2 linked regions of the Danio rerio genome follow. The protein of the gene in region 2 interacts with the protein of the main gene of each other region in a pairwise test. Links are inferred from orthologs where the notes say so. Each region holds a gene or a part of one and is shown on either strand. Other genes may lie near its edges. The genes, in order: tmem30aa and atp10b.

Region 1 (16,618 bases), on a different chromosome or scaffold from region 2:
ACCCGAACCGTACCGTACTGTACCAGTCAGTGTAAACAAGGCATTAATAGCTCATTCTTGGTGTGAACAAGGCTTTGTGTGGGTTTGGTGAAGGATACTGTAGGCGACCTCCAGGCTGTAGTTTCCCGGCGGTAGTGTTGGGGTCATGGTGTCCTTCTTCTTCTGAATGATGCGGTACAGTTTCCTGAACGTGGGAAGAGCAGCGGTTCTCATCCACACGATCAAGTCCTCGTTGACGAAACCGTTGTTCTCGGGATCAGCCGGGTCCAGCTCGTAGACAGCCTTACGCCAGTTTACAGGTTTGCTGGTGTCTGTGAGGACAAACATTACAGACTCAGGGTAAAAAAAGAGAGATGTGTTGATGTACAGTGCATCCGGAAAGTATTCATATAAAAAAAATAAATAGAAAACCTACTAAAATTTTAAATAAATCATAAAAATAAAACATCTTTACTTGAAATCTGAAAAAAATCTAATCAAAAAGAAATGTGAAACATGAGCTGAAAGGCCCTGCTAAACACATCCGAATGATCGAGTAGACTTCTGAGTTGTACCTTGGAAAACAACGGAGAGGTTGTTGTTGCTTCCTCCTGGGTTTCTGAACTTGACGTGTTTGTCAGTCCACCACGCAATGCCTGTCTTCACCAGATGAATGCCGATTTTGCTTCCGTTTGGATGGATATAAAACAGCTCCAGTGTATCTACAAACATAAAGGAATCACACAGAGCAAACAAACAGACTTAAGGCCTGAGTAAGCAGTGAATATTTATTTTGAGGCTCATAGAAAGCCGCTAGAGCATGTTAGCATTAGCTTTGTTTATAGGGTCTACTGATCCGAGCTTCTGACAGACATTAAATGGTTTATTTATATACTTTTACAATGAGCAGCATGACCGACCTTCAAATTCTCAATAAACTTGTGCTAATTCTTCATTTAAACAGCATGCAAAAGTACACATAAGTGCAAAAGTAACTGCCGCCGGTTGAAGGTGCAATTGTTAGCCTTCACTGTAAGAAATGTTGGAAATGAACAAAACAATCGGCCTAATACAAAATATTATGAGACTAAAATATGGGAAAAATGTCAGATGGTTCTTTAATTCTGTAAATTTTCCAAACGAATAAACAGCACTCGGTAATATTTCAGCATGCTTTCACTTTCGTATTCGACATGACACCATGTTATTGGTAGGAATGACATCCCACCCTACTCATAATTCTCCCTTCATGTAGCCATATATATGGCTTTTACATATGCATAATACACTGTGATATAGCCTGGTTCGTTGGCTTATTGAGTCGTATTGCTTTCTCACTACAATCAATCTGACCCAGGGTTTGTTTCAATTGAGCCGAGTCCACCTCATTAAGGTGACCCTTGATTAATAAAGGGACTAAGCCGAAAGGAAAATGAATGAATTAATTAATAATTAATAAAAATTAAGGTCTCTTTTTAATAGTGGCCTTAACTAATATGTACTTACACAGGATTTAATAGTTTGTTACAATGTACTTATTGTGTAAATGCATGTATTTACTGTGTACATGTTTGATCAAATACATGTATGTAATTACATCTGTAATTAACTTTTGTAATTACATTTGTTAATACACTGTTGACAATCCTTTACACCTTAACCCACCCTTAAACCTACCCACACCACCAAACCTGCCCATAACCCAACCTCTATCCCAACTGAAAAGCACCACAAGTGTTCTCAAAATACATTATAAACCCAGTAAGTACATTGTATTTAGTTTTTTGATGCAAGTACATAATAGTTAAGTACACTTAATATAAAGTGGGATGATAATTAATAAAAATAAAAAAAAACTTGTGTTAAGGAGTTACAGATTTTCGTAATTACAAAGAAAAAAAATTTGTTTTACAATGTCATTACTTCGAAAACTGCCACGTCCCAAAAAAGGCATCAGTACCAGCGAGTAAAAGAAAAAAAGTATCTTAAAAAATGGTTTTGGTGCATATCTAATTCACACAAAGAATAAACAACTATTAAAATAACAATATTGGTTTAGCACAGAGGAAATATTATTTAAATAGTCTAAATGAACAATTAAACTATTGAAAGAAAATTATTATCAAGCATTTAAAACAGCAACATGCCTTTGTAATATTCAAAGCCATATTAGGCACTAAGTATCATTAAGGTTATTACAGTGGCGTAGCGCAAAATGGGGAGGCCCCCCTGCAGGGATCACTGACGGGGCCCCCAGTTGGAGAGGTGTTGGTTGGGGGGCAACGCGGGGAAGTAATCACAAATTGAGGAGCAGGGAAGGAAGGCGGGGTGGAGCGACAACGCGGGGAAGCCTTCACAAACTGAGGAGCGATCACAAACTGAGAAGCGATCACAAACTAAAGAGCGGGAAAGGGGGGGGGGCGACAACACAGGGAAGCCTTCACAAACTGAGGAGCGATCACAAACCGAAAACGGCGAGAGCGTCAAAGTAGCCAGAAGTGATTCATTTTCAATGAGAAACGGCGGTGAAAAACATCGCGGCGCGTCTTCACCTGTGTGAGTGTCGAGGAGAGTTGAAATCAAGTCAACTTTATGGTATGAGCTATGACCGAGCTTGACTCGGTTCGGCGGCAATCATAATGAAGTAGTCCACCGGTTGAGAGGAGTTCAGAGAACACAGACCTGTGAACATTGGTTCCGACCACAGTTGTTTTCAAGAGTTTGATTATTGAGGTTGCCGGATTTTCGCGACAACGTGGGGCCCCCTAATCACGCGGGGCCCCCCCACGGAGCGTGCCCTGCGGGCCAGTCCGCTACTCCTCTGGGTTATTAGTATTATGAGCCTTCAGTCTTACCGTTGAAGAGACTGTTAGCAATGGCGCCGCAAGGAGCAATGGGCTTCCTGTCACTTGTTCGATACGGTTCACACTCTTTACTCGGATTCTGTAAAACAAAAGATTTAAACACTTGAAGACAACGTACAAACTCGATTCAACAATTCAGTAAGTATGCTTGCTAGGGCCATGTTTACACTAATTACACATATTTGCAATATGCAAACGACAATTAAACAAAAGTAAACTCTGAGCGGAAAAGCATGTCACGTCAGTCGCGTCACCAAATATATATATATAATATATATATAATAAGGCTTTCATTGACAATCATGATAGCCTTTTGTAATGCTCTTTCTTTGTATACACTACCAGTATACTCTTTAGTTTTGTTCCCAACAACTTACTGGCTGTTGTTACCACTTCTCTTTTGGGCCTCAAGCATTTCCATACCATCAGATCTCACAAAATGCACCAATATTAAACTATAAGTTTACACAAAACAAAATTAAATATAATATACTAAAGTCAAAGTCAAACATTTAGTCAGCATATGTCGAAACACTCACCAGTAAAGAGCTTTTGTCTCCATTCAGCTGACTGTCATCTCTGGATTTGACATAACGTCTGTGGTTTTGATAGAAGTTGGAGAGTCCGTAATACATGAAAACATTACTCTACAAAAAAAAAAGAAGTTAGAGGTTAAAATAACATCCAGTCACCAGCCATAAAATCTTTTATACTGAGGCTACTTCAGTGTTGTTTATAGATCATCTGAACTGATCTCTGTTATAACAAGAGCGGAAAACAATTCTATTTTTAACATATTAAAAGGTGCGATCAATAAAACGTCCTCTAAATATACTAATGCATAATACATGAGAGCTAATGGCACTTTAGGTGATTTGTTTGACCATCCAACGGTTAGCAGACAAAGCAAATATACAACATAATGGAGCTAGAGTTAAATATATCTCTAAATTAGTTCACGCTTGCTATGCTTTTCATTGATACCTTCATATGCATTTATAGGTTTTTGTTAATGAAATAACTGATGTAGCAGTGACAATGATGTTGATTTCTAAATGTGCTTTAATATAAGTAAATCTTTCAAACTCAGAAAATGTGACTTCGTATTATCCTGTGTTACTATAATCATAAACAAACAGAGAGGTATATTATTGTTAGTATTGTGAAGTATTCATCTGTTAAGGCTTTTGCTGCTGACAAAATGAACATATTTTTCAACAAACTGCAAGCACAAAAGTAATCTAAATGTAATCCAAATGTAGTCAGATTACATTTCCATAAATGTGTTATCTGTTTTTTTTTATGTAATTTGTAGACAACAACTGAATATAGTTCATAATTTAGCTACTCAGTTTTCTTTATAAAAGGTCACTCACATTAAAACAATTTCTGTGGTAAAATACATAGTGTTTTTGAATCATACTATAGTAAAGTAGTTGAATTCATTTGTTGTAGTAAGTTGCTGGTAATACAACAACTAATAACAGAAACAAATGAATATTGTAGTACAATTTTTACAACTTCATAGGGTGTAATAAACAACAATAGACCAGTTTACTGCAGTAAAATCTATAGTACACTGGTTTAAAAGTTGTAACCGTTTTATTAAATGGAGTTAATAACTAATAAAATTCTATTGTAATCCTGCAGTTATTCTTTTGCTAATTAATTTGTTTAAAACATTTGTTCGATTTATAGATAATGTATAGATAATTAAGCAATGCATTAAGTATCTTTTTGATTAAACCTGCTAAAGTGATCTTTTTTTAACCATATATATATATATATATATATATATATATATATATATATATATATATATATATATATATATATATATATATATATATATATATATGTATATATATATATAAATTAAGTAAGATAAACTTATTTCATACCAAAAAAACATGATTATTTAACTTAACGCATTGGCAGATTATTTAGCTTGTTTTAAGGAAAAACTAACTTTATTTTGACTTATTTCTTTAAAAACAAAAAAAAATAATTTTTTACTTGTCTAGAAAATGCTTTCTAGATTATTATATTTTATTTAAATTTTAGATCTTTGATTTTTAAAAAGAAAAACATTTTCTGAAGTGTAACACAGTGTCCTAACACGCAATAAAATATGTCTCTTTCAAGTTAAAAGGAGTTTCTATTTTAACCATCTGCGACTGCGAAATTTCTAATTTAGAAACAGTTTCTATTTCCGCAACATCGCAGCAAAAAAAACTTCAGATCTAGAAAATAAAACACAGAAACACACAAATATGATGTAGGTCTAGCAGTGTAAAGTGTGTTTACCTCGAAAGGCTGGTCTAGTGTGAAGGGAACAGTGCAAGTGCACACACTAGTGCTGTTCCAGCTGTAGTTCTGTGCACAGTTGTAACACGGACTGGACATGTCGACACCAGTGTAGTCGATCTACAACACAAACAACAACAGCACAAGTTACACAATAACATCAAACTACTATTCACGATGCTACTATTTTATGTTGTAGGGCTGTGCAATATGACATATATATATATATATATATATATATATATATATATATATAATTCATTCATTCATTTTCTTGTCGGCTTAGTCCCTTTATTAATCCAGGGTTGCCACAGCAGAATGAACCGAAAACTTATCCAGCAAGTTTTTACGCAGCGAATGCCCTTCCAGCCGCAACCCATCCCTGGGAAACATCCACACACACACTCATACACTACAGACAATTTAGCCTACCAAATTCACCTGTAACACATGTCTTTGGACTGTGGGGGAAAATGGAGCACCCGGAAGAAACCCACGCGAAGGCAGGGAGAACATGCAAACTCCACACAGAAACGCCAACTGTCGAACCAGCGACCCAGCGACTCTTGCTGTGAGGCGACAGCACTACCTACTGCGCCACTGTCTTGCCTATATATATATATATATATATATATATATATATATATATATATATATATATATATATATATATATATATATATATATAATTTTCTGTAAATTCCTAAGTATTTACTCAAAAATCTACTCATTAATATGTGATCAGATTAAAACTTCAGTGTATTTGTTTCTAATTATAATTAAATATTAATGAAATTTAGAAAAAAAATTCATAAACTAATGATTTATAGGCTGAGCATAAAATATTGCTAAATAAAATGTAAATATGTTTCTGTCTTTATCCTCATAATGGCGTATAATATTACGCTTATATAAAATTATGAAAAGTATTAAACAATAAATTTTGTAACAATACAATATTAAGGGTATAGTTCACCCAAAAATGCTAATTCTTGTCATCATTTACTCACCCTATATACGTTTAAAACTTTGAGTTTCTTTCTTCTGTTGAGCACAAATCAAAAGAAAACCTGTAACCATTGACATACACATTATCACTTTCCCTACTATGGAAGACAATGGTTACATTGAGGTAACGCTGGTTTTATAATCACACATTCATACTTTCTCCCTAACAATATAATTTCAAAAAGAAATATTTGCTTATTCTATATAGTAAAATCACAGTAGCAGCTAGTGACTATCAAACTGCAACATTGTTCAATAAAGGTAAAGTTGGTTTTATATTCACACATTCATTCATTGACAGCTCCATACATTGTTTACCATGGTACTTTGAATATCCGGACTGAAATCACATGACTTCAAAACAACATTAGCACTATTTAATCAACTGTGAACAATGCTGTACTTTGATGGTTGCTGGCTGCTAATATGATTTTGCTATTTACAATTTCCAATTAATACTTTTCTGAGACTTTATTATTAATGAGAATGTGTGAATATAAAACCAACTTTACTTCTATCATTGTTCAGTCAAACAAATAGTGCTAATGTTATTTGAAACTCATACTTACGTGTGATTTTAAATCAAATATAAAAAAATTAAGGTAAAGTTGGTTGTATATTCACACACTCGTTCAGTGACTTGTGTAATATTCTCTAATTTTTTTTTACCATGGTATTTTGAATATTTGATCTGAAATTGCATGCATGTACGGCATCAAGACAATATTAGCACTATTTATTTGACTGTTAACAATGATGTACTTTTGATAGTCACTGGCTGCTAACATGATTTCACTATTTATTTATTTAGAGCAAAGAATTCTTTCTGAAATTATAATAAGTCCCAATGCGTAAATATAAAACCAAATTTCCCTTAATGTATACAAAATATGATAGTAAACAATATAGGGAGCGAGTCACAAGTTGTCACTGAACGAATGTGCGAATATAAGACCTTACCTTAATAAATAGAGGTAAAGTTGGTTTTATATTCACACATTCGTTCATTTAGCAGTCTATATATTGTTTACTATGTTACTTTAAATATCCGATCTGAATTAGCATGCAAGTGTGACTTGAAAACAACATTAACACTGTTTATTTGACTGTGAACAATGTTGTACTTTGAAAGTCATTTGCTGCTAATATGATTTCCCTATTTAAAATTTGCAATGAATACTTTTCTGAAATGATATTATTAAGGGGAATGTCTGAAAATCCGAAACTTTACTTCTATCCTTAATAATGGTTACAGGTTTTTAGCTTTCTTCGAGCTATCTTCTTTTGTGTTCGACATTTGAAGGAAACTCACAAAGGTTAAAAACAAGCAACGGGTGAGTAAATAATGATTTTTGCTTGTCAATTTTGCTGTGAACTAACTATTTTAACGATAGAATATGAATAGATAGACATTTTATATTGTCATACTGCACAGCCCTGACGGTACTATGGTGAAGTTGCGCACTTCAAACTCTTTGATGTTATTGGAGGTGACGAAGAGTCCGATGCCGATGGGGATGAAGATGAGTCCGATCATGAAGAAGGCAGGCAGGACGGTGCCTGCTGTCAGGATGGGCTGCCAGGCGGGCAAACGCTGCTGTTTAAAGGCCGTGTTGTCCGGCTTCTTGCTCTTGACGGCGCCCGGGCCGCCGGAGCCCACCAATCCCGGATGATGACCGTCCTCCTCCTTCGCGTTATAGCTGGACGCCATCATCGCGCTTTAATCCTTCAAAGACGAGCACAACTTCAAATGTATGTCCTTGGTTGGGTACAGCGTGTGTTATATCGCCGCTATCGATGGTTTTGATGGTACAATGACCGCGCCATTAAACGATGGAGATTATTTCCGTAGCGCTTAGTAGGATGTGGACAAGGCGATAAACAAGGAAGTGCTGCAGCCAATAGACTTGCAGCGACGCTGTGACGGCATCACATGACGACTAAGGAATAAAAACAACTGTTTTTATTCCCCTGATAATCTCTTAATACAGTATGCTATGCTCTTTTACCGGTATTTTAATATGTTTGGTATGCATTTGTGTCTTTATTATTATTATTGCTGTTGTTTGCATGTTCCTGTTTGTTTCTGAAATAGAAAATCAGTGATGCAGAGATGAGCAGTATTTTAATTTAAACGTGTTTAATATGCATTCAATAACTAAATAGGTAGTTCATCCTTTGTATCTTGCTGGAGAAAATACAAAATGTAATTTTTATTTAAAGTCCAGGTGAAATCAAAATTTACAATGCTCATTTTGCTAGCGCACATTGTTATTCTTTAGGTGAACAATGGGGTATATGCACAGCAGCGAGCGTTTCTTCCCATATTATTAAACGTCTGGTGAACAGTTAATGTGGCTTGTACAATTTTATATGTTTTTTTTCTTTTACAGCATCGATGTTTTAATGTTTTTAAAATATAGTCAGTTAAACAGACTTATTAAATTAAACAGACATTTAATCGGTCAAGCATAAAATGAGATGAAAGACCGTTTACCAGCACAAGCTGTCAGGATCAGCAGGCTAGTACAAAAGCTCCTTTGAATAATCTGGCGTAAAAAAAAATGTTCATATTTTTAAGACATGGCATGGACAGACATCCAAAGTTGAGAATAGTCATTCCCGGGCAAGACTGATGATTTGTCGGAGTTTGCGGGAGTTATGCTACGTAAAAATATCTGAAGATCGGGTGTTGGTGGTGTTTAACAGGATGTGTCTGAAGAGCAAGGAGGGATGCAGTAAGAAGGGTGCGCAACGTATTTGAGGACCGGGAGGGAGACCCGCGATTTTCAAGAGATTATAACTCGCTTGCAGGCATCCGGGAGTCTCTGTGCATTTGCGGGAGACTCCTGGAACTTCCGGGAGACTTGGGATGTCTGCGTGGAAAAATGTTATTTAATGCACATTCTGAGACTCACTTTATATCACATATCACACTTTTGAGACTCTCTGCGTTTGATTTTTTTTTTATATATACACGTCGTTATGTCGTTGAACTGTTGGACACAATATCACACTTGTAGCAGTGCGATATGGCTGTATATCGTTACTGGTGGGACATTGAGGCACACCTCCCACCAGTGCTGATATACAACCATATCGCACTGCTACTCGTGTGATATTGCTCACATACACACATATACATATATATATATATATATATATATATATATATATATATATATATATATATATATATATATACTGTATATATATATATATATATATATATATATATATATATATATATATATATATATATATATATATATATATAATATTACATATATATATATATATATATATATATTATAAATTCATTAATTTCTTTTGGGCTTAGTCTTTGGCTTAATTACTCACGGGTTGCCACAGTGGAATGAACCGCCAACTTATCCAGCATATGTTTTATGCAGCGGATGCCCTTCCAGGTGCAACCCATCACTGAGAAACACCCATACGTTCTCATTCACACATATGGACCCATGATGACCCAGTCGAGGCTTAAACAGGCAACCTTCTTGCTGTGAGATGATAGCGCTACCCCTTGCCCTACTTATACTGTTAAAAGAAATAATAATTTAATGTATGTATACACATCATTTGAATTGCATAATAAATTGACAAAAAAAACATATTTTTGACACATAAAAGCAAATCATTTCAAGTGGTGCTCGCTGCAGAGCCATTTGAGGAGAGCTGAGCTCCAGCGAGGGGGAGCTTAAGCTTGAGCTCCACCTTTTTTGCACTTCTTCTACGAGTGATGTCACTGGGGGTAGGGTTAGGGGTGGGGTTGGTGTACGCATTAAAACAGCTTACAGGAGGAGGAGCGACAGCTCATGCTCCCCCTCGCTGGAGCTCAGCTCTCCTTAAATGGCTCTGCAGCGAGCACCCTCTCAATCATTTTACTTAGAAACAACAATAAAAACAGACTGTACTTATCGGAGAGAATCACAACAGAAGTATCACAAACAGAAAACCTTTGGTCTGAAATCATGTACATTCCTTCGTTAAATATAATCATAAACAAAAGTATTAAAATACATCATTTAGTAGGTATCATTTCTAAAATAAACATGATATACAGTCTTTTACCAAAAACAATTTATTTTTTCAAAACATAATAACAGCAGAAGAGATCAGAGCGCTCATCTGTTGAGCTCACCTCACCCATGATGAGCTCTGTGTTGACATCTTTCCTCATCAATGTTGATTGTGTACACACCTAAACTCTACAAATGTGATTATTCTGCAATTACATGAGCTGTGGCATCAAAAACACTATTTGAGAAACTTCCAACGAGTCTAAAAAACCCTGATAAAACTTGTATTACGGTATAAAGAAATATTATGGCATATATTCATACAGTAAGAGTAATAAATAATATTTTTTTCATTTTTGGGTGATCTAATCCTTTAACCTACTAACTTGTCAACTTGGTGTTTATTGTTAATAAGTGAAGTTTATGTATAAACAAATTTCGAGAGGATCACGTGCTTATGATTGCTAGCAGCTGGATCTGCATTATCCAATTCACTACACTCCAATCAGATGACTCCTAAACTACTATAAATACCCTGGGTTTCATTCCAATGCTATCTTTGTTTTGAAGAGTCCCCCCTTCCTCCCCTACTCCTCCTTCTTAGACGGGTGATACGGCGGCCCAGTGCGTAGCACTGTCGCCTCACAGCAAGAATGTCTCTGGTTCCAGGCTTTACCAAACCAGCAGACATTTCTGTGTGGAGTTTGCACTTCTCCCCGTGCTCACGGGGGTTTTCCCCGGGTTCCCCGGTTTCCTCCCACCGCCTAAAAACATGCAATTAAGTTAATTGAATACTCTAAATTGGCACTATAGATATGCTTCTAGTACGGAGTTATCTTCAAGAGCAATCACTTACTGTTCATTGGTTACTACAGCAGAGGAGTTCTCGAGATCTACCTGAGCTCAAACTCCCCTCCCGCCTTGCAACGGGAGGGAGCCCTGGGCTCGAGGATCTCCTGAGCTCAGGGCTCTCTCCCGGGACAGCATGCCAAACAAGCTTGTATAATTAATCATCAGCTAAGTGTGAACTCTTGAAATCCTGATTTGTGTAAGGCAGCGTTAATAGATCATGACTATATTAATTATTACACATGTGACAGGGATGATGTATTTTTTGTAGGCTAAAACCCATAAACAACATAACATTTTTTCTTGAAGTCAGTTGGGTTTTTTAATTGAATTTAATTTTATAGCCTCAAATGCAGTTTATAAATGCAGAAATAAAAATGTCCTCCTCATTTACTCAGACTTAAGTGGTTCTAAACATTTATGAGTTTGTTTCTACTGTTGAACTCAAAATAAAATATTCTAACGAAAGCTGGGAAAAGAAATAGAAGTCAAAGGCTGTTTTCTTCAGTATATTTTCCTTTATGTTCAACAGAAGTAAGAAACTCAAGCAGGTGTTGAACAAATGGCAGAATTTTTATTTTTGGGTGAACTGTGCCTTTAAGATATAAAATTCATGATTAATTTACGAAGACTGTGTAAAACACAAACACAAAACGTATGAATCTTAAACTAGTCAAAGAGCCTATTTTTGGCAATACAAAACCAATAGAAAAATCCTATTACATTTATTTAACTAAAACAAGTTATGCTAATTTCTGGTGTGTCATAACTATCTATAGACCAAGGCAACATGTTTCCTTTCCTGAAAAAACAAACAAAAAGCGCTCTGGGGTAAGCTCAAATGTATGGTCGGTGCTCTTTGGGTAAGGGATTCATCAAAACAGCAACAAGAATCAGTCCAAGGCACTCGAAATTAGTGAAAAATTAAAAAGCCTTTATTCACATGGCTAAATCTCCAAAAACCTACGCGTTTCGGCAGGAGTCTGCCTTCATCAGGGCAACAGTGATCAGGTGCGTCTAGAGTCTCCTTTGAGTACTACGGTCACATGACTCATTTAAACATCTCAAATGGCACTCAAATAATTTAAGCAAAGTCTACTATCATCATAAATTCGGCATAGATACACAAACACCCACTAGCATATATGGGAAAAAGAGAGAGAGAGAAAAAAAATGGAAAATACATATATATACAAACACATACATCAATGTATAATGATAATCTGTAAAGCATCTATAGAAAAACTCATTCATTTTCTTGTCGGCTTAGTCCCTTTATTAATCTGGGGTCGCCACAGCGGAATGAACCGCCAACTCATGTTTCCTCTCCTATGTAAAAAAAAAAGTCCTCCCTTAAATCTCTGCCACACATAATAATTTCACAATCATGAATTTTCTTTGGCAGTAGAGTAAAATGCATCTGTGGATCTTGTTTGTGTGGTACTCTCCGTCTCAGCCCTTCCCTCCGGCCTGTAAGGCTCCATTACTAACAGCTGATTTTTTCAGGTCAGTGTGAATGGCCTCCGCATTTGTTTCTGATTTGGCTCCTGTGGTGAGTCCCAAAGCTCCCAGCACAGCTTTTCCGGTTTTCATGCCCCGAGACATCGGGATACGACTGAACCCTGATCGTGCTGATGGGACATCCAGGACTGGCTGCTGTTGAGAACCAGAAAAACAAGTAGCATGATTTAATGAGATGCAAGGCCTTTTTGTTTTTTTAGCCAGCCCAATTTCAAGGAAATGTACGTACCTAGAGAAAACGTGTTATTTCATATGAATTCATACAATTCTATTCATATAAAAATGTACAAATTTTTAAAAAGAGGCATGTCAACAAACCCCATTCTTAACTCTATCCCTTATTTTTTGTTTTTTAGCCAGCCCAATCTTGAGGAAATGTAGTTCTTTTATGAATTGTCAGAAAAAAAAAGACTATTTCGTAACAAATTCATATGATTTTATTTATATAAAAACATACAATTTTAAAAGGAGGCATGCCAACAGGCCTTACCCCTAACCCTGATTTTTGTTATTAGCTAACCCAATCTCCATCCCCTAGCCTACCCCTCATTGGAGGATCAGCAAATCATAGTGAAATGTCTAAATGAGATTGTACGAACTAATACAAAATTAGCCACAAAATCAAATAGTTACTAACTTGCTTCAAAGATGTGACGATTCAAATTGGCAGGGATGTTAAAAGAATCACGATACATGTTTTAAACAACAGGAACTGTTGCGTTCACAGCAGACTTGCTCAAGATGTGCAACATTTTAGTTTAAAGATAGTTTAAAACAGTGGTTTTTAATTCTGGTCCTTGGGCCTGTACATTTTGTATGTCTTCCTTACACCTGATTCAGATCATTCGCTTTCAACTGGTTTAAAGCAAGTGTGCCGCAAGCCTGCGTTTGAGTGAAGGTCTCGGCCGTTAGATCGCCCCCTGGGGGCTGGCTGCAGTACAAGTCATAAAGCCCGCCTCCTCCGTGTTAATGAAGGAGACTTGAGCCCAAATAAAAAATGTTTTACACTTGCAATAAAATGTCCCGAAAGATGGTTCTGGTGGATTAAGGCACTGGTTATAGTGCTGAAATAGCTGCAGATCTTCATTTTTGTAAAAAATTTGTTTTTAGCATTAATTTAATGCTGGGCGTGTCATCGTGATTGACAGCTGTGATTGACAGTTTCTCAAAGCAGCGCATCTGAGCTTCGGCAGGAGACTGAAGTGTTATTATTCGATTTCTGTGTTATTTTACCATGACAAAATGAGTTCAGCAGTAAACTACAGTTTCTGACATACATGATTCTGGTGGAACACTGTTTATTCTTTAAGGTCAGGGCTTTTTTCTAGCTTTATAAGTTTGCTGATACACGCCTAACCACCCAGATAGCAAAATACACTCGGGCCAGTTCAGGCTAGATTCTCGCCTGCCGGAGACTTACTCCTCAGAGCTCAGACTGACTACCTCTGCTGGACATACTCCGGATGCCTGGACTCACTGCCCGATTCCAGCCCGAGTCAATCGAGCCAGATGCGGCGGCCGAGCGAGCCGGCGCTGCCGCATGCGAGCCGGAATCAACCCGCGACGCCGCGAGTATGTTATGCGCTGCGGCCCGGAGCTGGCGCGATTGAATATATAAAACCCTCATATTTGTTAACGTTATTACATCCATTTGTGTTGATATGACAGCAAACGCATGCTGAGAAGTTCGGGGGACGTGGTTGATTTTACATAAAGCGTTTGGTTGGAAGCTCATTTTCGCGGCTCCTCCTCTGGCTCCATCAGACAGTCCTTTTGCGCATGTCAAGGCTCCAATTTCAGCAGTCTTTTGCGACAGTTTGTGCCCGTCAAGCAGGCATTTTGCCCTCAAGGCGTTTAATGGGAAAAGGGGCTGTCGCGTCGTCCATATTTTTTACACTCATTGGTTTAAAGAAACAACAAGTGTGGATGTACATTTTAAAGTAGCTTTATTCCACAGGTGTCAAACTCAGTTTCTGGAGGGCCGCAACTCTGCACAGTTTAGTTCCAACCCTAATTACACACACCTGATCCTACTTACCTGAGTCTATTGTCAGGTTGGAACTAAACTGTGCAAAGCTGCTGCCCTCCAGGAACTGAGTTTGACACCCGTGCTCTATTCTCATTTAAATCAGGAGAACTAGAGAGACCTGTGAAACACAAATGTCCAGCCCACATCATCATGCTGACAGCACAGTGACTTTATGTTCTTTGTTTAACCTCATTAATTTAATTTAACACACTTGTAAAGAGGGATGGAGCCTTACTAGGGATTTTACCATTTCAATCATATTATGAAATCCGTGACAGTAAACATGACAACAAAATATTTTTATTTTACAAAGAAAATTTTTTTGTGATTATCCATAATATGTAAATGTTGCACCTACCACTGAAAGTGTAGGTCTGGCTGGTGCTTTAGTGACCTGTGTGATGGCGATGCTGCTCATCACTTTGCTGGTTATTGATTTGCTTGGAGTCACATTGTGTGGCGAGCGTAGCACAGTTCCAGTAGGAACATCCTTACCCTCGGATGAACCAGAAATAGATTTGACCATGACGACCGAGCCATGATCAATGATCTTCTTGAACTGTGATCCTAAGTGGATGTGAATCTTGCTGTCTTCTGTGGTAACAACATTAGCATTGGACTTCTTGATGGGTGTGGGGACCATTCGTTTCTCAGGAGTTTCCTTGAACACAGCTCTGCCTGTTATCATGTCCACAGACTCCTGGGAGCTGCTGTTGGATGCGACTGAAACTGAAGATAAGGGTCTGTCGGTAGAGGGAGACCTCGTGATCTCTGCACTCTTGGCTCTTGAGATGGCAGCAAAGGTCAATGGAGATCGAACTCTTTCTGGATTCTTTGGATTCTCCTTGATTCGTTCAATTGTTGGAATGGCGGTTGTCTGAAATTCTTGGGTTGGTTTAACAGAAGCTTCTTTGGTCGAGTCCTCGGATGGATCAATGCAGATCTGCAATGTTTCCTCTTTGTTCTGAATATCTGGGATCACCTGATTAAGGGACATGTTGACCTCAGAGGGTGCACTTGTATCTGAAGATACTTCAGAAGTACTGCTGTCTTTCTTCCTCATCCAAGGAATCCAAGACTTCTTCACAGTAATGTCACTAACCGTTGGAGGGTAGAGCTCACGCACTGTTGGTCTCTGCGCAGGCTTCCTCAATGTCCTCTGCTGAAGACTACTCATGATCCGGTTCTCTTCTTGGACAGACTTTTTGATGAATGCAGCAGGAGTGTCACTGTCAGAAGTCCTGTTTTCAACTGAATCGGTTTGTACCCCAGTCGATGTCATAGGAACATCCAACATTCGGCTTCCTTTGACGCTTGGCCTCATAGTGCGACTGTAGCGCTTGGAGACCTCAAGTTCTTTGGTGAGGTTAAGGATTTCAGTGCTTATGCTCTTTTTCTTGTCCTCCTCCTCTAGGAATCTCTGCTGCAAGACAGAGTAATCCACCTGTAGCTGGGAGAGCTCATCTTCTTTGTTCATGAGCTCGTGAATCTTCTCCTTCAAGGCTTGCACTTCTGCTTGAAGGTCTCTGGTTTTGGCTTCCTCCAATTTCAATTTATGTCTCAGTTCAACCTCTTGACTGCCTATCTCACCTTGCTCTATTGACTTATTTAGTGCAATCTGACTTCTTATTTCTTGTACCTGCTTTGAGAGAAAGCGTGCCTTTTCCCTGTCAGTTGTTAGCAAGTCATACTCTGGTTGAATCAGGTCCCCTTCGATTGCTTCAAGCTGTTGAAGACGGTTCTTCAAGTGCTCAATCTCCACTGTCAGCTCCGTAACTTTATTCTCACTGCTTTCATGTATATTCAAGACATTCTGCAGCTCTTTCACCTTCTGGACAGATTGTCTTTCTTCGTTCGTGCTACTGTGCATGGAGCTCAGATCTTGACACTTTTCTTCAGCTTTGGTATGCTGTAGTTTTATTTCATCCCTCTCCTTTACAAGAGCAGCTATCTTCAACTCCATCTCTGATTTTAGTTTCAGACGTTTCTTGCTCTCCTCTATTAACCTCTCAGTAACCTCC
Region 2 (16,535 bases):
ATATATTTTTCCTTTCTTTTTGAAGGCAAAAGCTGAAATTTTATATGTGAAGGATGTGAACAATCTCCAATGATGACAAGAACTTTCTGTTTAACTCTCATTTGATACATTTCATTAAATTGTCTTGAATACTCCAATTGTAATTTTGAAGTTGGTTATCTTCATTTAATATATTTAAAGAATCATTTTACTAAGTTAATATAATGTATTGTCTGCTAAGACCAAGCAAGAATATCAGTTAACTAACATTAAAAAAAATAATAAAATTTTTACAGTGTTTACGATTAAAATGTTATTTATTACAGTGATTAAAGCTGAATTTCTGATGATATTATTCCAGTTGTCAGTGTCACGTGATCCTGTTTTAATGAAAGTTCAAAGAAACAGCATTTATTTGAAAATAAATTGTAAGTCTTTGCTGTCACTTTCCCAGCAATGCATCTTTGTTGAATTAAAGTATTACATTCACACGAAAGAAAATGGTACTGACTCCAAACCTTTTAGTGTACCTACTATTTAATTTATTATTTCCCATCCATTTTTCAGTCTAAATGATTTTAAAGATAATGGACTAAAATTGTAGACAAGAACAAAATGTCTCGCCATGATGTCAGCAAGAGATTTCCCATCATGTTTTCAGTTTTTTTCTGAAGATCAACTGCTTCCCTCAGGTGTCTTGTGGCACATGTTTGCGTGACGTCACATCAAGTTGTCAGCATTTCAAATCTTATCTTACACAACATTACCTAAGTGTAGCAATGACAGCACAACCTCATTAATATTCATGAGCTGAGACATGCCATGTCACGAAGCCGCATCCACCCTTAACATGACTGCTTTCAGAATATATCTGGGTTATGTCTAAATTTACTTTTCATGTTACATAAATGGCTTATGATTCCCTCATTTCCAAACAGATTTCCATTTGAGGGATGAACTAAGATGACAAATAATCTTGTACCTTTGGTTAAAAAAAACCTACTAGGGCAATAAAAAAAGTGAAGGTTTTAGATGCATAAGATGATGCGTTTACAAAATGTGCGTAAAACAATATGTGTGAGTCTTCAGGAAGGGATTTAATGTTGAAATGAAAGTAGAACGGTTTCCTGCCCTCCTCAGAAGTGTGAAAATGGGATTACAGAGCAGCAATATGAGCCATTCAAAATGGTGAATGCACTTTTTCTCAGCTCTCTTAAACACAGACTCAGGCAGACTTGAAATGAAAAACAGCATATCTGACAAATTGTTGCAAGCGCATTTATGTGTTTGAACACGCTAAGCAGAACTTCACTCTTGAGGGGATGAACCCTTGCAACACTGAAGCCTCTGTTGTCCCAGATAAACCAATTAACCCTTTTCCTTTTGTGCCGCTTCACTGTTTTAAATCCTAAAAAACACTTGCAACATATGAAAAACACTCAGCTACTCTTAATGACCTGATTATTCCTGTTAAATGACCCGGTTAAATTATGTTAAAGTACCCTTATTATTGTATAATTAAAGGTTACTAATTTTGTTTTTGAGGTCTGCTAAAATAGGTTCAACTTAATTCAAGGTCAAAAAACATGAAATGTAATAATTGTAACATTGCAGCATCAGCTCTTTTTTTTGTTCCAGGGTCTGTTTTTTTAACACATCTTTCCTGAGAGCCTACTGTGCTCTAAATGGTCAGATCTTCCAGTCTGTGATGATTGGACTAGTCTTTATAGCATGTCTTGGAAGCCAAATGCTCATTACCATATCTGAATCATAAGGGGCTGTTTACACGACAACATTTTCAGCAAAAAATAATCTCCTGGAGTATGTGGTAGTGTTGTTGTTGCTCAGGTGTTTGGTAATGCTTTAATTTGGATTCATTCAAATGTAGGTTATTTGGAAAAATTATTGTGTAAACAGTAATTTGGTAATTTTCATTCATTCATTCATTTTCTTTACCACAGTGGAATGAACCGCCAACTTATCCAGCATATGTGTTATGCAACACATGCCCTTCTAGCAGCAACCGATCACTGGGAAACACCCATACACTCTCATTCACACACACACACGGTCAATTTAACTCACCCAACTAACCTAAAGTGCATGTTTTTGGACTGACTGTGGGGGATACTGGAGCACCCAGAGGAAATTTGTTGTGAACATGGGAGAACATGCAAACTCCACACAGAAATGCCAACTGACCTTTATTATTGAATTGCTTTAACAGCATTATTACTACTTTATTATAGCATTATTACTGATGGATTACTGCTTTATTATAGCTTTATTAGTTTTTGCTGAATAATTATTGCTTTATTACTGCCTTATTACTGCATAATTGCAGCTTTATTATTGAATTAGTATTGCTTTATTATTGCTTTGCTACTGCTGTGTTACTGTATATTTATTGCTTTATTACAGCTTTATTTCCACATTATTGTTTAGTACTGCATCATTACAGCTTTATTACTGCTCTGTTACAGACTTGCTACTATATTATTACCGCTTTATAACTGCTTTACTACTGCATTATTACTACAGCTTTAGTAAAGCTTTATACGCTCTATCACCTCATTAGTATTGCTTTATTATAGCTTTATTACTGCATTATTACTGATTTATTACAGCGTTATTACACTTTTTAACAGATTTGTTACTACTTTTACTGCATTATTATTGCTTTAATACAGCTTTAGCACAGCTTTATTATTGAATTGCTTTTACAGCATTAATACTACTTTATGATTTTTACTGCTTTTTTAGCTTTATTGTTTTTACTACATAATATCGCTTTATTACTGCCTTATTACTGCAAAATTACTGATTTATTACTAAATTGGTTTTGCTTTATTACTCCATTGTTACTGCATTTTTACAGCTTTAGTACCACATTTTTGTTCATACTGCATTACTAATGCTTTATTACTGCATTATTTATTATACTTTTAAAAATTTTATTGTAGCATTAATACTGCTTTTTACAGCTTTGTTAGAGCTTTATTACTACATTTCATATGACAGATTAAGGAAGAAAACATACTTTTTTATATAAAGGGTGGGTCAATTACCTTGCCATTGCAAATATACTTAAATTGTGAGAAAAAATATTTTTATTTCTTCTTTGTGAAGTATACGCCACAATCAATTGTTTTGTTCACAACTCTCAATTTATTATTCATGTATTATTAAATTATTAATATTATATAATAATTAAATTAAAATAATATAAATAAAAATAATATTTTATCCAAATATAAAGGATGTTTTAGAGGTTAAATAATAATTATTTTTTTACATTTCTGTGCAAACAACTGCATTTATTTATACTCTTCCATTTTTTTAGACCTGTCACAATCACAAACAGCTACATCTCACCCTATATGAAGGTAACATTCGAAAAGCATTATGGGGCACTTTAATGTCATACGTTAAATAATTCTTCTGATGAAGCTGGTTGACTAACAGAGGCCAAGTCTTTGTTAGGAACAACATTGTAAAAGCATTAGTTAGCTGGCATTGAATCAGCCAGATCAGATACCTTCTTGTTTGTGGTGAAAGTGAACACCAGGTCTTCATGGTCCAGCAGCTTGCAGGAGTAAGCGATGTTGACAGCCGTCTCGGGTTTGTCTCCTGTCAGCACCCAAACCTGCATGCCAGCCCGTCTCAGAGCCTGAATTGTTTCTGGGACGTTTTCTTGGAGCCGATCTTCAATGCCAGTGGCCCCTGTGGGTACACAAGTTAGATCATGTCACCAAACTGTGAAGATGCTTACCATAGAATTGACTTTGAAAGTTACACTAAAATATATCTGTTAATTAACAGTTTACTGTTTTGTGTTGCTTACTTACAGTTGCATTATAGGACCTAGATCTCTGCTCTGATGACTTTTAATGTTAAAAATAAAAAAATTAAAAAAACTCTAACAAAGTGACTTTTATTGACATTTTAGTAGTTTTAAATAATATAATGTATAAGTAATAATGTATAAAGAAATAAGTCTGTAATATAAAAGAAACTGTACTGGCAATTTATTACAAGGTTTTTCAGTTATAATTAAGCATAGACCTATCACAATATCTTTTTTTTTTGTTGTTGCATGATATATTGCACCAAAATATGTGATAAATTATATTATCGTAATTTTAAGACCATTTTATGCCACTCATTATATAAGGACAGAATGACAATATAGTAGCATCACAATGCAAGAACACTCTTCATATTTTATTCTTAAGAATATTTCATTTAATCATAGTAATATTAACAATTTAATAACTAGACATTAGAATCAGAACGTGAAAGCGTATATCCTTAACAAATAAATAATAAAAAATATTAACAAAAATGTGCAAGATAAAAAGTAACTGCAATACGTGCTACCTTATCTAATTCCAGTTTTCAGATACAGTACCCACATAAAACAATTGCTATAGTAATGTATAATAAAACCTATAGTGTTTTCAACCATACTGAGAGTGACACATCCAAAAGAGATAGAGAGGTTGTGCAATCAGCGGAAATGTTGCTAGTATTGGTTTGGGCGATATATATTGCATCACCAAAAATGATTGTCCATGTGTTGTGTGATAAGTCGATGTATTGATTATTGTCACAGGCCTAAATATGTAACACCAACCCAGGCAATATATCACTTTAAACTATTACAAATATTAATAAAAGTCACTTTTTAGAACTTTTCAAGGTCAAAAGTTTTAGAAAGAAAGATCTGAAAAATGAAAAATAAAAACATGAATGAAAAATATGGAAAACTGCTAATTTACAGACATTTTTACAGTGTATTTTAGTGATTATGACATTCATAATTTGTGTGTTTTATAAAATATTAATATATGAAGAGATCTGTTAGTGTTTAATATTAAGTTACGATAATTTTTTTCTGCATGTGTGCATTTTTAGGGAGGTAATCGTTCAGACATACTCAGAATAATTAAAACATTTGCGGAAACCTATTACCTGAAAACACTTAACTAAATTTTTTTTTAAAGTTAGGCTTAAGATAGAATTTATTTTTTAATTTTGTACTGAACAAATAAATTAACCTGAACAAGTTGCTTGCAAAAATATCTAGATTAAATATTAACTCAAAGTGTAAAGGATAAGTGCATTGTAATATCAATGAAGGGAGCAGAGATTATACCCAATAGAGTGAGGTTGTTCTCAATGTCATTTGCGGTCTCCATGAGGCGTTCTTCTTTCTCATCGATGGCTGACAAAGCCTCTTGTCTGCTAGTAAACCAGGCCTTGAACTCCTGTTCACTGATAACCTTTAGAGAATAATCCAGCAAGACTATTAAGCAGTTTTCAAATATAGTTGGTTTTAATGTATAATTTTCCAACCAAAACTTTACCTTTTTGGCAAAGCACAGTGTTCGTAATCCATCCCTGGCGTACATGTCAAGGTCTTTTTGAGTTCTCACAGCAATTCGCTTCGCTGCACTTTCAACTGGTGACATATTTGTGGAAAACAAATGACACTCGCAACATAGGCTCGTTCTGAAAACATAGCCCAATATACATTTCTGGAGATCAAAAATTATGTAGCCAGCGCTATGTATGGCTGCATTTTGTTTTAAAACAAAAGCTATGGTGCAGTATGAAGCCGTTCCTTTTCTTGCTTTTCAGCTGACCAGCTGACCTTGACGGCTTTCCTGCTTAAACCCGTTTGTACAGTTAGCTCTTCATGTATATCGGCAGACTTGAGACGCATTGAGGAGTTGACCACAACGACGAGGTTTGAGTCCGGTAAAGAACGGTTCCAGAAAGCAGGTAAGACAAAAACAGAAGCCAAAAAAATAAAATAAACAAGTAAATAACAGGGTGAGAATGTGGTAAAATCTAAAAAACATGGTAAAAATTAGGCGAGGACCTGTTTTTTTTTTGGATTGCTTTTTACAACTTTTGGTTGGATTTACGGAAGTGAGTGGGTGGGTCAATCAGTGCTTTTGAAAACACTATTGGTTGGGTTTACGGAAGGGGAGGGATGGGTCAGCTGATCGGTCATTCAGTCAGACCTTCAGTCAGTCGTCAGTCGACAGCAGCCTCTGGCAGGAATGGCACTCGCCAAAGAAATTTAACATCTCAAAAAGCACACACAGCAGCCTCTGATGGATTCGCAAAAAAACTGCAAAAAAAAATTAGCTCCTGGAATGTATTTGGTGCTCTCCAGAAATGTATATAGCAACACACTGCATCACTTTCAGATCTGCCATGTTGAGTATATTAGCCAAGTAAATGTACAATTATTTACAAATAGTTTTTATAATTTAGCTATTTACATTTAAAATTTACAAAATTGAATATTATTAAAAAAAAACTTCACTTTAAATATTGTAGGGGAGTTATTGTGCAGGTATTTGTATTCTTTAAAAAGTGTGGTAAAATGAATGCAATGTGCCAATATAAAATAAATGTGTGATGTAGTAAAAAAACACTATCATGGTTTTTGACAAAATATTAAGCAGCAAATAATCATATTAAAATGATTTTCTGAAGAATAATGTGACACAGAAAACTGAAGTAATGATGCTGAAAATTCTGCTTTGAAAACAGGAAAAATACACTTTAAAATATATTCGGATAAAACAAACCTGTGTTTTTTGTAATATTATTTCACAACATGACAGGTTTACGGTATTCATGATCAATAAAGGCATCATTACACTCAAAATGTGTACATTTTAGTAGTAGTATTTTGTAAGTAATCATAAAAGGGATAGTTCACCCAAAAATGAAAAATATCTCGTCATTTTCTTCTGTTAAAATATTTTGAAATATTTTGGTTGCTGGGACCCATTGACTTCATTCAATTTTTTTCCCTTCTATGAAAGTCAGTAGATCTCAGCAACCAGATTTCTCCAAAATATAACCGAAGAAACTCAAATATGTTTTGAATAAGAGAGCGTTTGTATCCCTTTAAGATATAAAAAGTGTACCATTAAGCTACCAATGTGGACCTGTTAGGTGCAAAAGTGTAACTTTTGAAAACTGCTCCACTGACAGGTTGTGTGCCTTTATTTCTCAGAATGTAGAGACCTCAAACTATTAAATCATGTATGTTGCCTTAATGTATTTGATCTGACTGAATATTTCATGCTCACCTGAGAAAACATTCCCCAGTTTCTCCATAACAGCTGAATCAGCCCCTTTAGTGTACATGATGATTTCATTGGTGTGCGGATGACGTACTATAATGGACATCCTCCGCCGCGTCGAGTCGAAGGTCAAGACGTCCAGCACCTCAAACTTCAGCAACGTTTCATTGGGCAGCTTGACAGTCACATAACGAGGAGTGCGTTCGACCATGGTGAACCCATAAGCCTTTGCTGCGTGTATCAGAGCGGCCTCATCTGGACTGTGGGCCTCATAACACACCTCTTCTGACCTCGACAGACTGCGTTTATCCTTGCCTTCACTTGAAATGACCTTCTGGCCCGGCCTGGAGTCTGAGACACTGGAGATGTGAAATGTGTCTGGCTCGTCTTCATCTATAGCAAAGGGATCTGCCATTGTCTCTCTGTTTCTCTTAAACCTCATAGAGGAGAAAAACTTTTGCAGAGAGCTTATTTTGAACCACTGTCCCATGTTGTGACTCGAACTTCCTGAGTATGAGGAGTTACGACGGCCTTTGACCTGGAAAAGAAAACATTTACTTGTTTTAAAGATGATGTATATAATACTTAGTGCAGTATTACTGCTTTATTACAGCCCTATAACTGCATTAGTATTACTTTATTACTGCTTATTTACAACTTTATTACTGATTTATTACTGCTTAATTACAGCATTATTACTGCAGTAATAATGCTTTATTACAGCTTTGTTACTGCTCTTACGTATGTTACTACACTATTATAGCTTTATTACTGCAGTATCATTGCTTCATTACTATATTATTACTACTTTATACTAGCTTTATTACTGCATTATTACAGCGTTATTATTGCTCTATTACAGTTGTGTTACTGACACTACAGTTTTATTACTTCATTATTACTGCTTTATTACAGCTTTATTATTGCATTAATATTGTTTTATATCTGCCTTATTACTGCATTAGTAATGCTTAATTACTGCATAATTACAGCTTTATTGATACTCTAATACAGCTTTGTTTCTTCATTAATACAGCTTTATTAGTGCATCATTACTGCTTTATTTTGCATTAGTATTGTTTAATGGTATAGAGCTGCTTTATTATTGGATTATTACTGCTTTGTTACAGCTTTATTTCACATTAGTATTGTTTTCTTGGAATTTGAATGTCTTTGTTGTGCCCAAAGGGCAATTAGGTTTACAGCAATAGCCGACAGTTAGCAGCAATGGGTCACAATCGAACAACATAGAAGTAACAGTAAACAATAAAACTAACCATGACCACGAAAAAAAAAAGTAAAAAAAGTAATCCAACTGCAGTTGGAACAAATGAATGCAAATGTTGGACCCTGCTAAAAACAAGTATACCTTCTGCCTGATGGCAAGAGGCAAAACTTTGAATAAAGTGGATGGTTCTCATCTGCAAAAATGAACATGGGTCTCTTTATGACTTTCACCTTATAGACGTTCAGTACTGTTAAGATTTGTGCCCACAATCTTTTGAGATAGATGATCAATTTTTAAAAGTCTGTTTTTACTTGTCACCCTCAAATTAGCATACCAGCATATTACTGCAAAAAGATGATGCTTTATTACTACAGCAATATTACTGCATTATTACACTTTTTTGCATTAGTATTGTTTTATTACTGCATAAGTATTACTTTTTAGTGCATTACTGCTTTATTACAGCTTTAATACTTCTCTATTATAGTGTTATTACTGCTTTATTTAAAGTTTTATTATGCATTAGTCTTACTTTATTATTGCACTATTACAGCTTTGTTCCTCCTTTATTACAGCTTTATCACTGTGTCATTACTTAATTTCACATTAGTATTGTTTTATTACTACATTAGTATTGCTTTATTGGTGCATTATTACTACATTGTTACTGGTTTATTTCACATTAGATTGTTTACTGCATTTGTATTGCTTATTAGTGGATTATTACTGTTTTATTATAGCATTTATACGTTTTTTTACAGTGTTATTACTGCTTTACTACTGCTCTCTTACAGTGTTATTACTGCTTTATTGCAATGTTATTACTACTCTATTACAGTGTTATTACTGCTTTATTGCTGCTTTATTACGCTTTAGTATTGCTTTATTACTGCATTTATTACAGCTTTATTACTGCTCTATTACAGTTATTACTGCTTTATTACAGAGTTATTACAGCTTTATTGCTGCTTTATTACTGCATTATTACAACTTTATTACTGCTCTATTACAGAGTTGCTACTGTTTTATTACAGTGTTATTACTGCTTTATTACAGGGTTTTTACCACTTTATTAGTGTTATTGCTGCTTTATTACACATTAGTATTGCTTTATTACTGCATTACAGCATTAGTACTCCATTTATTGCTGTGTTATTACTGCTTAAAACAGTGTTATTACTGCTTTACACTTTATTACTGCTTTATTATTTATTAGTATTGCTTTGTTACTACATGCATTACAGCTTTACTGCTCTGTTACAGCTTATTACCGTTTTATTGGTGTTATAACTGCTTTAATATGCATTAGTATAGCTTTATTACAGAATTTTTACAGCTTTATTACTGCTCTATTACAGCATTAGTACTGCTTTATTAGTGTCAATACTGCTTTATTACTGCTTTATTGCAGCAGTAGTACTGCTTTATTAGTGCTATTACTGATTTTTATTTTGCTTTATTACAACATTAATACTGCTTTATTACAGTGTTGTTACTGCTTTATGATGCATTAGTATAGCTATATTACTGCATTTCTGCTCTCAATTGTTGTAATATTGATTTTATTTAAACAGTATATTATTGGCAAATGTTTTAATTAAATACATTTTGAAAGGTCATAAAAATTTATACATATTCACAACACTTTGACCCTATGGAATATGATGAAAGTCTATTTCATTATCACTTTTGCAACTGAACAGTCTAAAATAGATGTTGCTCAATCAGGGGAAAAAAACACATGGATCATAACTTAAATAAAGCTGACTTCAAGCAAACGTAAACAGTATGTAGTCTAAAATAGATTTTACAGAATCAGGAAAACACATAGAAAATGGTGCATATGAAATAGCATACAATGTACAACATTGTATTTGAAATTTCATGACCATTAACAAAGTGCATTCAACAGTATACAAGCTCCTTATTTTAGCTCTAGTTTTAGAGTATTGGCTGATTAAGAAAAAAAAAAAACATGTTTTGTCGGCGTTTGTTTCACCTTGCCTAAAACGTTGTCTGTCATCATCAATGGTAGCCAATAATTTCATCCATCTGATGCATCCATTCCTTTTTAATCAACTTTTTTTGAAGGCATGATCTGTGCCATCTGGTGTTAGGCCAGTTTCAGTGTGAGTGATAGAAAGTGTGATGGTATGGTACAGTACAGTATGGTATATGTATGTGTACTTGTTTATGTGACCTATGAGGACACTAAATAGTATAACATTAGTTTGACCTAGTTGTACTATATGAAGATCTTTTACAAGGAAATGCTTAAAAATCATACTCAACATGGTCTTTTGACATTTAAAATTTGCCACATTTTCCTGTGAGGCTTGGGTTTAGGGGTATTTTAAACTTTACAGTTTAAAATAGATTACACCAATGTTGAGTCCTCATAAACTATATATGAGTGTGTGCGTGTGTTTGTGTGTGTGTGTGTGTGTGTGTGTGTTGTGTGCGTGTGTGTAATTAAGCAGAAAAAAATTTAACTAAATAAGTTATACAGTTATAACTTAAAGCCTTATTTGTTTAATCTGATGTAATTGACAAACACCTTATAATGACATAGGAAAAATAATATATTATATATGTCTAATATTTGTTAATAGCCCATTAGTGGAGGGAGAGTCTCATCCTATTTGAAAAGCAAAAAACATCATGATGTAAAATGTTGTCCCTCCAGCCTCCCGTGGCTTCCCCGCTTGATGGAATGCATTTTAGAAAGCAATGAGGAATCCATCGCTAAAAAAACATTGCTGAGAAGATAAATCTAATTTTCTGTAAAACTGTGTGTTCAGTTAATGATTCTAAAACTGAAATATTGCAAATATTAAAACTGAGTCCATGCTGTCGGCCGGCACTCTAATCCGCTAATAATCTAGTTCTTCAGGTGCTGCGGATCCGCATTCATTGTGACTGCCTCTTAAGTTGTGATGGACCCAGGGTGATACAATCATGCTCCATTGGTAATCAACTTAATTAATGTTGACCCAATGTCTTTGAATGTCTCAGTGCTACAGGTCTGAGGCCAAATATAATTTCTACCCTGGACAAAGTGCTTTGCTCGGGGTCCTCAAGTGCAATTTGGGAAATTAGCACTGACCAGCAGTGAAGGATACTCAGCTACACTAAACTTCTCTCTCAGACTCAACTCATTACAGACGTGTGGGGGGACGCAGTCCGCCTGACTGATGAAAAATCTAATTGCCTGGACCAAGTAAGCCATTGGCGCTTGCTCGAGAATTAAAATGTAGTAATTATAAAACAAACCACCGGGCTGCGAAGCACTAGCCAAAGTTGAATTAGTCATGCAGGGGCAGTAATAAAATATCTCGGGGCAACGGGACTGCGGCCACAGGTACTCACTGTGCAAGAGGCATAATTTACATGGTGGGCTATTATAGTTATTGTTTTGACATGAGGGCAGTTTTTTTTTTGCTGTGAGTCAGAGAGCTAAGCATGTCGCCAAACCCTTTCAGCTCCAGCAAGGTCAGTAGTGTCAAGCGTGCTTACATTCTGACTTTGGGCCATCAGTGTGCAAATATTCTAGACTTCTGACTGATTTATCTCTAAAAAAAATCTTCAGTTCATATTTAGAAAAAAAAATAAAATTCTGATTTGCATTATTTTGAATTTATCTCCAGATTTTGGAGATCATATTCTGCAATTATGACATTTGAATTCAGAATATATGTTGCATTTTCTTTCAGAACAAGATGAATTAACATCTTGCTATTCTGAATTTTATTCACAAATCTAAAAAAAATTTCAGAATTCTAAAAATATGCTCCAAACTCTTTTCTAAGAATTCTGACTTCATATTTAAAAAAAATCGTGAACTAACTTAATAAAATAATAATTTTATAATAAAATTATAAAAAAAATAAGAATTTAATGTGAATCTGTGGGCCGGATGATTAAAAATAATTTTGTATTGAAAGCCCTGGCCATTATCAATAGAGAATGTAGAGAATGGCTTAATGCAGTAAATATATTCACTTTTTTTCTGGCCTTATTTCAGAGACTGATACATTCATACATGCTGTTTACATATTGAGTCATCAAGCATTAGCCATTAATATATCTTTTAGAAAAGCCAGAGGGTAAACATCTGGCAATTCATATTTTTTTCCTGCAGTATTCTGCACTTACTATACATCTACCCTTTTTTTCTCTGAATTCTGAGTCTGCATCTCACAATTCTGATTTGTCTGGATTTTAAATGTACATCTCAACCCTTTCAGCTCCAAACAGCTCACCCTCTGTCTCTGGGCGGTCAATGTGGAAACCACCACTGTGTTGCAGATGGCCAACGCCAGAAAAAAGTCCAGGTAGGGCCCGGTCTGAATGCTCGCCATCTGATGGTCCACTTCCAGCATTAGCTTCCTGTCTGGAACCACCACTGTTTCCTGTTTGAGGAAATAAAAGCGGTTAGGCGCGTGCCTGATTACATCATGCACAACAAGACCATGTGGTATCTTTCCATAGGTGGAAAATTACACGTATCGTATGACAACAAAAGGCACATCGTCACATGAAGAGGCAGCGGGACACGAGACAATCTGTACAGTATCAGTAGCCCATGTTTAATGCACCCCAGCGGCCCCATATGTCAACCGATCGAAACATAGCGGATCAGAGCCAGCATTGCTGTGCTCATAACTGACACCAAACTGCTCGGCCATCTGCAGGGCAGACCGTGAGCATGCAGGAGAATAGAGGAAAGAAGATGGGTCAACGATAAGATGTCGGGGATTATTTACTTCAGCTTCATCGTTTAAATCCACGAGGAAAAACATGGTGTCATTTCTAATAAATGACTTTTTTAATTGATTGAGTACAGACTGCAGTAAAATTCAGTTGTCGCTTCATGTTTTAGTGATTAATCCTGTTCTGTATGCACAACAGAGTTTGGTCACTTACAGGCATGATAAGCGCATTTGCTAGCCTATTTCTGCATTTTCCAGATTATATGCAGTGTGTTAGCATCCAAAGGAAAAAATAGTTTAATAAAATGAGACGCATCAGAGTTCTGTTTTCAACAATGAATAAAAATGTTAAGAAGGTAACTCCATTTAAATAAGGTAACTGCATTTTTATCACAGTTGCCAGTTGATAGCTCACAGTTCAGAGTTTCTTTAGAGTTGTCAATTTATATTTCACCAGTTTTACTTTTTTTTTGCAATCTCACATAATTATTTAAAATTGTATTGTAATTTAAACTCACAATTCAGATTTTTTTAAATTAGAAATTAGAAAAATGAGTTTTGAAATGTATCCTTTTGTTGTCAAGAATTATGAATTAGCATCCGGCTCTATTGACTTCATATCAATTTTAAGGTTATTGCACAATAAATCCTAAATTTTCGTCCATAATTTTCACACGTTAAAAAATAAATTTGACCTCAGGTTGTGTGAATCGCACTGACACACTGCCTCCAAAATTTTCATCCAGCATAAAAAAAATCTAACCGGGTTTGATTTTTTTCCACTTTTCGCATTCGAAAAAGCACTTTGAGAGGTGTTTTGACAGTTGAGTCACCGTACAAGCAAAAATCTAATTAGGCTACAGAATGCCGTCATTTGAGCTACAGATAACTTTATCATAAAATAAAGACAGAATGTGGTGAACAGCTAGAGAACCCTTACATGCTGGATTCAGTGACTGGCAAACCTCTACCCTGCTGCTGCATGGTGTGTGTGTCCTTACATCTGACGTACAGCCCATAGACATTACAATAGAAATAATGGTACGCCTTCGATATGTCAATGCGGCCGCCATCTACTATAATGTCTGTAGGTACTGCCAGTCTATCTTCAGGATTTGTTTACATATGTAAATGTGGTATCAAAATACAACTGATTTCCTGAAATAAACTTCCGGATAATCCAGCAGAGCTCTTTAATAATGAGTTAAACTCTCCTTCCAATTTATTGGATAAACACAATATGCAGCCTAGTTCTTAATTGGATTGATTAATGCGCATCGGCCTCAGTGTGCAAGGTTTGTATAAGTGATGAATTTTTCGCATTTGAATACGAAAAAAATGCACCCAAAAATTTCAGACTTCAGTGTGCAAAGATTTATTATTATTATATATTTTTTTAAGTTTTAATTTTTCTCTTGTATGTGTTGCCAGATTTTGTTAGAAAAACATCAAACATTAATGCTCCATTCACACGGGGCGTCAGTGTCAACACTTCCCAGTTGTTGCCAAATTGCATTGTGGATCCGTCAGTGCTACTTAAGTGGTGTTGCTCACTGCAGAAGTTGGGAAATTCTCAACTTTTCAATCGCCAACAGAAGTGTCAGTCAATTAGATCGCTTCATGCAAATACACCAGCTCAGACAGTAGCCAATTGCGGACTAATTTCAGTGGCTGACGCTGCTATGACAATCACGTCAGCCTTAACTTCAGACACATCCTCGGTCAAACGTTGACGTTGGAGCCCTGTGTGAATGCATAATAAGAATTCTCATAATAAACCAACATACATCTAAAAGAGGGTTTCTGCAGGTTTCATCAAGTCAAATTTAAGATATTTTAAGACTTTTTAGACCATGACGAATGAAATTTTAGACTTATTTAGGGCTAAATGCTAAGGATTTTGTTATGGCTCAGCAAAAAAAAAAAAAAAGTACTTGCTCCATCATAAAAAAACCCAATTAGCTATTTCTAAGCCACATATTTTAAATAATGCGTCAAAACAAGCAGAGCCTAGTTCTTTACATAAATATTTTGCAACATAACTTTAAAAAAAACTCTTTAAAAACTAAATGTATGGACAACAGACTGTTATAATATTAGTCATAAATATAGCTATTGTGTTTTATTAACGGGGATTGGATGTTTGTTAAATCGATTGGGTTGCTTTACATAAACAAGGGAAAATTAAGACCCGTTTAAAAGTTTTTAAGTCCTACAAGACAATATTTCAGTGAATTTAAGCCCCTGCAGATACCCAGTAAAATATGTAAATAAAAAATAAGAACAAAAGTATCCCAACACACACCTCCACACTTTAAAAACACTATGAACATAATTTCTTTAAAAGCTAAGACAAACAACATATCTAAAACTGCTTATAATAAGTGCCCATGGTAACACTTCTATAGCATATTTTGTGAAACAGCCTGCCAAACATAAATCAAACACGATGCTCTTTCGACAGTTGTTTAGTTGAAATGCTGAATGTAACAGTGAATGGTCACTTTAATATTACTCTGTTATCTGCTATTGACCAAAGTACGTGAGATTCCAGAATGTTGCTATTGCCAGCACACTGTCAATCATCACAGTTTCAGAACAGAGTCTGTTGTATACAGATATGGAGAAAACACATTACAGTGTGCACATGGCCAAAGAAACTGGCAAATAAAACAAGCCTCTTGTTTATCTACTAAATTGCCGTTGTGTCAAAAAAAACTGCCAATTTTAATAAAGCACGAAAGAGACGTTTCTTTCAAAACAAATCATCTAGAATTGCCAATCTTCACCCTGAAACGCAGATATAATAGTCTTCTGATCTAGGATCTCACCAGAGGACTGCTGAAGGCCATGTCACTTTGGGCTCCCGCTGCCACTTTTGATCTGCGTCGACTGGCAGCTGCGACTTGAGTGTTGGCGTGATTTTTGTGCCCCGTGTGGTCGTCCTGTAATTCTTCCAGAGGGAAGAGTGGAGGAAGCTTTGTCTTCTGGTAGATGGTGACCTCCTCCTCTTCATTTCCTCCACCATTGATGACCGCCAAGCGAGCAGCTGTGCAATGTCAAAAATAAAGCTTGTTAATTTATTAATTATAACCATTAAAAGTAATGGATAAAGTAGCTGACTAAAATCCATTTTGACACCAAACATGGCTCAAAAATCCATACAAACTTAGAAAAAATGTTCTTTCACATTGCTGAAAACAAATGAATTAATCAAATACAGTATGGTTTTATATTGTAATAATTTCACATTTGGTCTTCAAATAATGCATATTTTAAATGATTTACTAATACTTTTACTTCTAATGATCTCTCAGAAAATAGATTTTTTGTAATATTTAACCACTAAGCCTACACTTTAAAACAATCCTTAATTGGGATGTCGAAAAAAAAGTAAATTAACAGCCTTTAAATTACAGGAATTTAAAGTAGAATAATAAATGTTAAATTACAGAACTTTCCTTAAATTTAAATTTCTGGTAAATTTCTGTATTTTAATGTCTG

The links.
Region 1: the proteins of atp10b (region 2) and tmem30aa interact in a protein complementation assay, tested with the Homo sapiens proteins (2 studies listed by IntAct, with this or other methods). The link is inferred for Danio rerio from reciprocal best matches to the Homo sapiens genes ATP10B and TMEM30A.

The regions. Positions count from the first base shown.
Region 1 is NC_133192.1:56,061,904-56,078,521, forward strand, and holds the start of tmem30aa (transmembrane protein 30Aa), read right to left. Parts: upstream 8,059-16,618; 5' UTR 7,873-8,058; coding exon 7,624-7,872; intron 5,271-7,623; coding exon 5,151-5,270; intron 3,491-5,150; coding exon 3,383-3,490; intron 2,923-3,382; coding exon 2,835-2,922; exon of another isoform or gene 2,532-2,834; intron 2,340-2,531; exon of another isoform or gene 702-2,339; coding exon 555-701; intron 312-554; coding exon 99-311; intron 1-98. Other genes in the region: filip1a (filamin A interacting protein 1a), read right to left, coding at 12,500-12,703, 14,956-16,618. UniProt on the Homo sapiens protein: Accessory component of a P4-ATPase flippase complex which catalyzes the hydrolysis of ATP coupled to the transport of aminophospholipids from the outer to the inner leaflet of various membranes and ensures the maintenance of asymmetric distribution of phospholipids.
Region 2 is NC_133189.1:26,618,556-26,635,090, reverse strand, and holds part of atp10b (phospholipid-transporting ATPase VB), read right to left. Parts: intron 16,081-16,535; coding exon 15,863-16,080; intron 12,732-15,862; coding exon 12,582-12,731; intron 7,630-12,581; coding exon 7,098-7,629; intron 5,444-7,097; coding exon 5,349-5,443; intron 5,265-5,348; coding exon 5,138-5,264; intron 3,703-5,137; coding exon 3,518-3,702; intron 1-3,517. UniProt on the Homo sapiens protein: Catalytic component of a P4-ATPase flippase complex, which catalyzes the hydrolysis of ATP coupled to the transport of glucosylceramide (GlcCer) from the outer to the inner leaflet of lysosome membranes.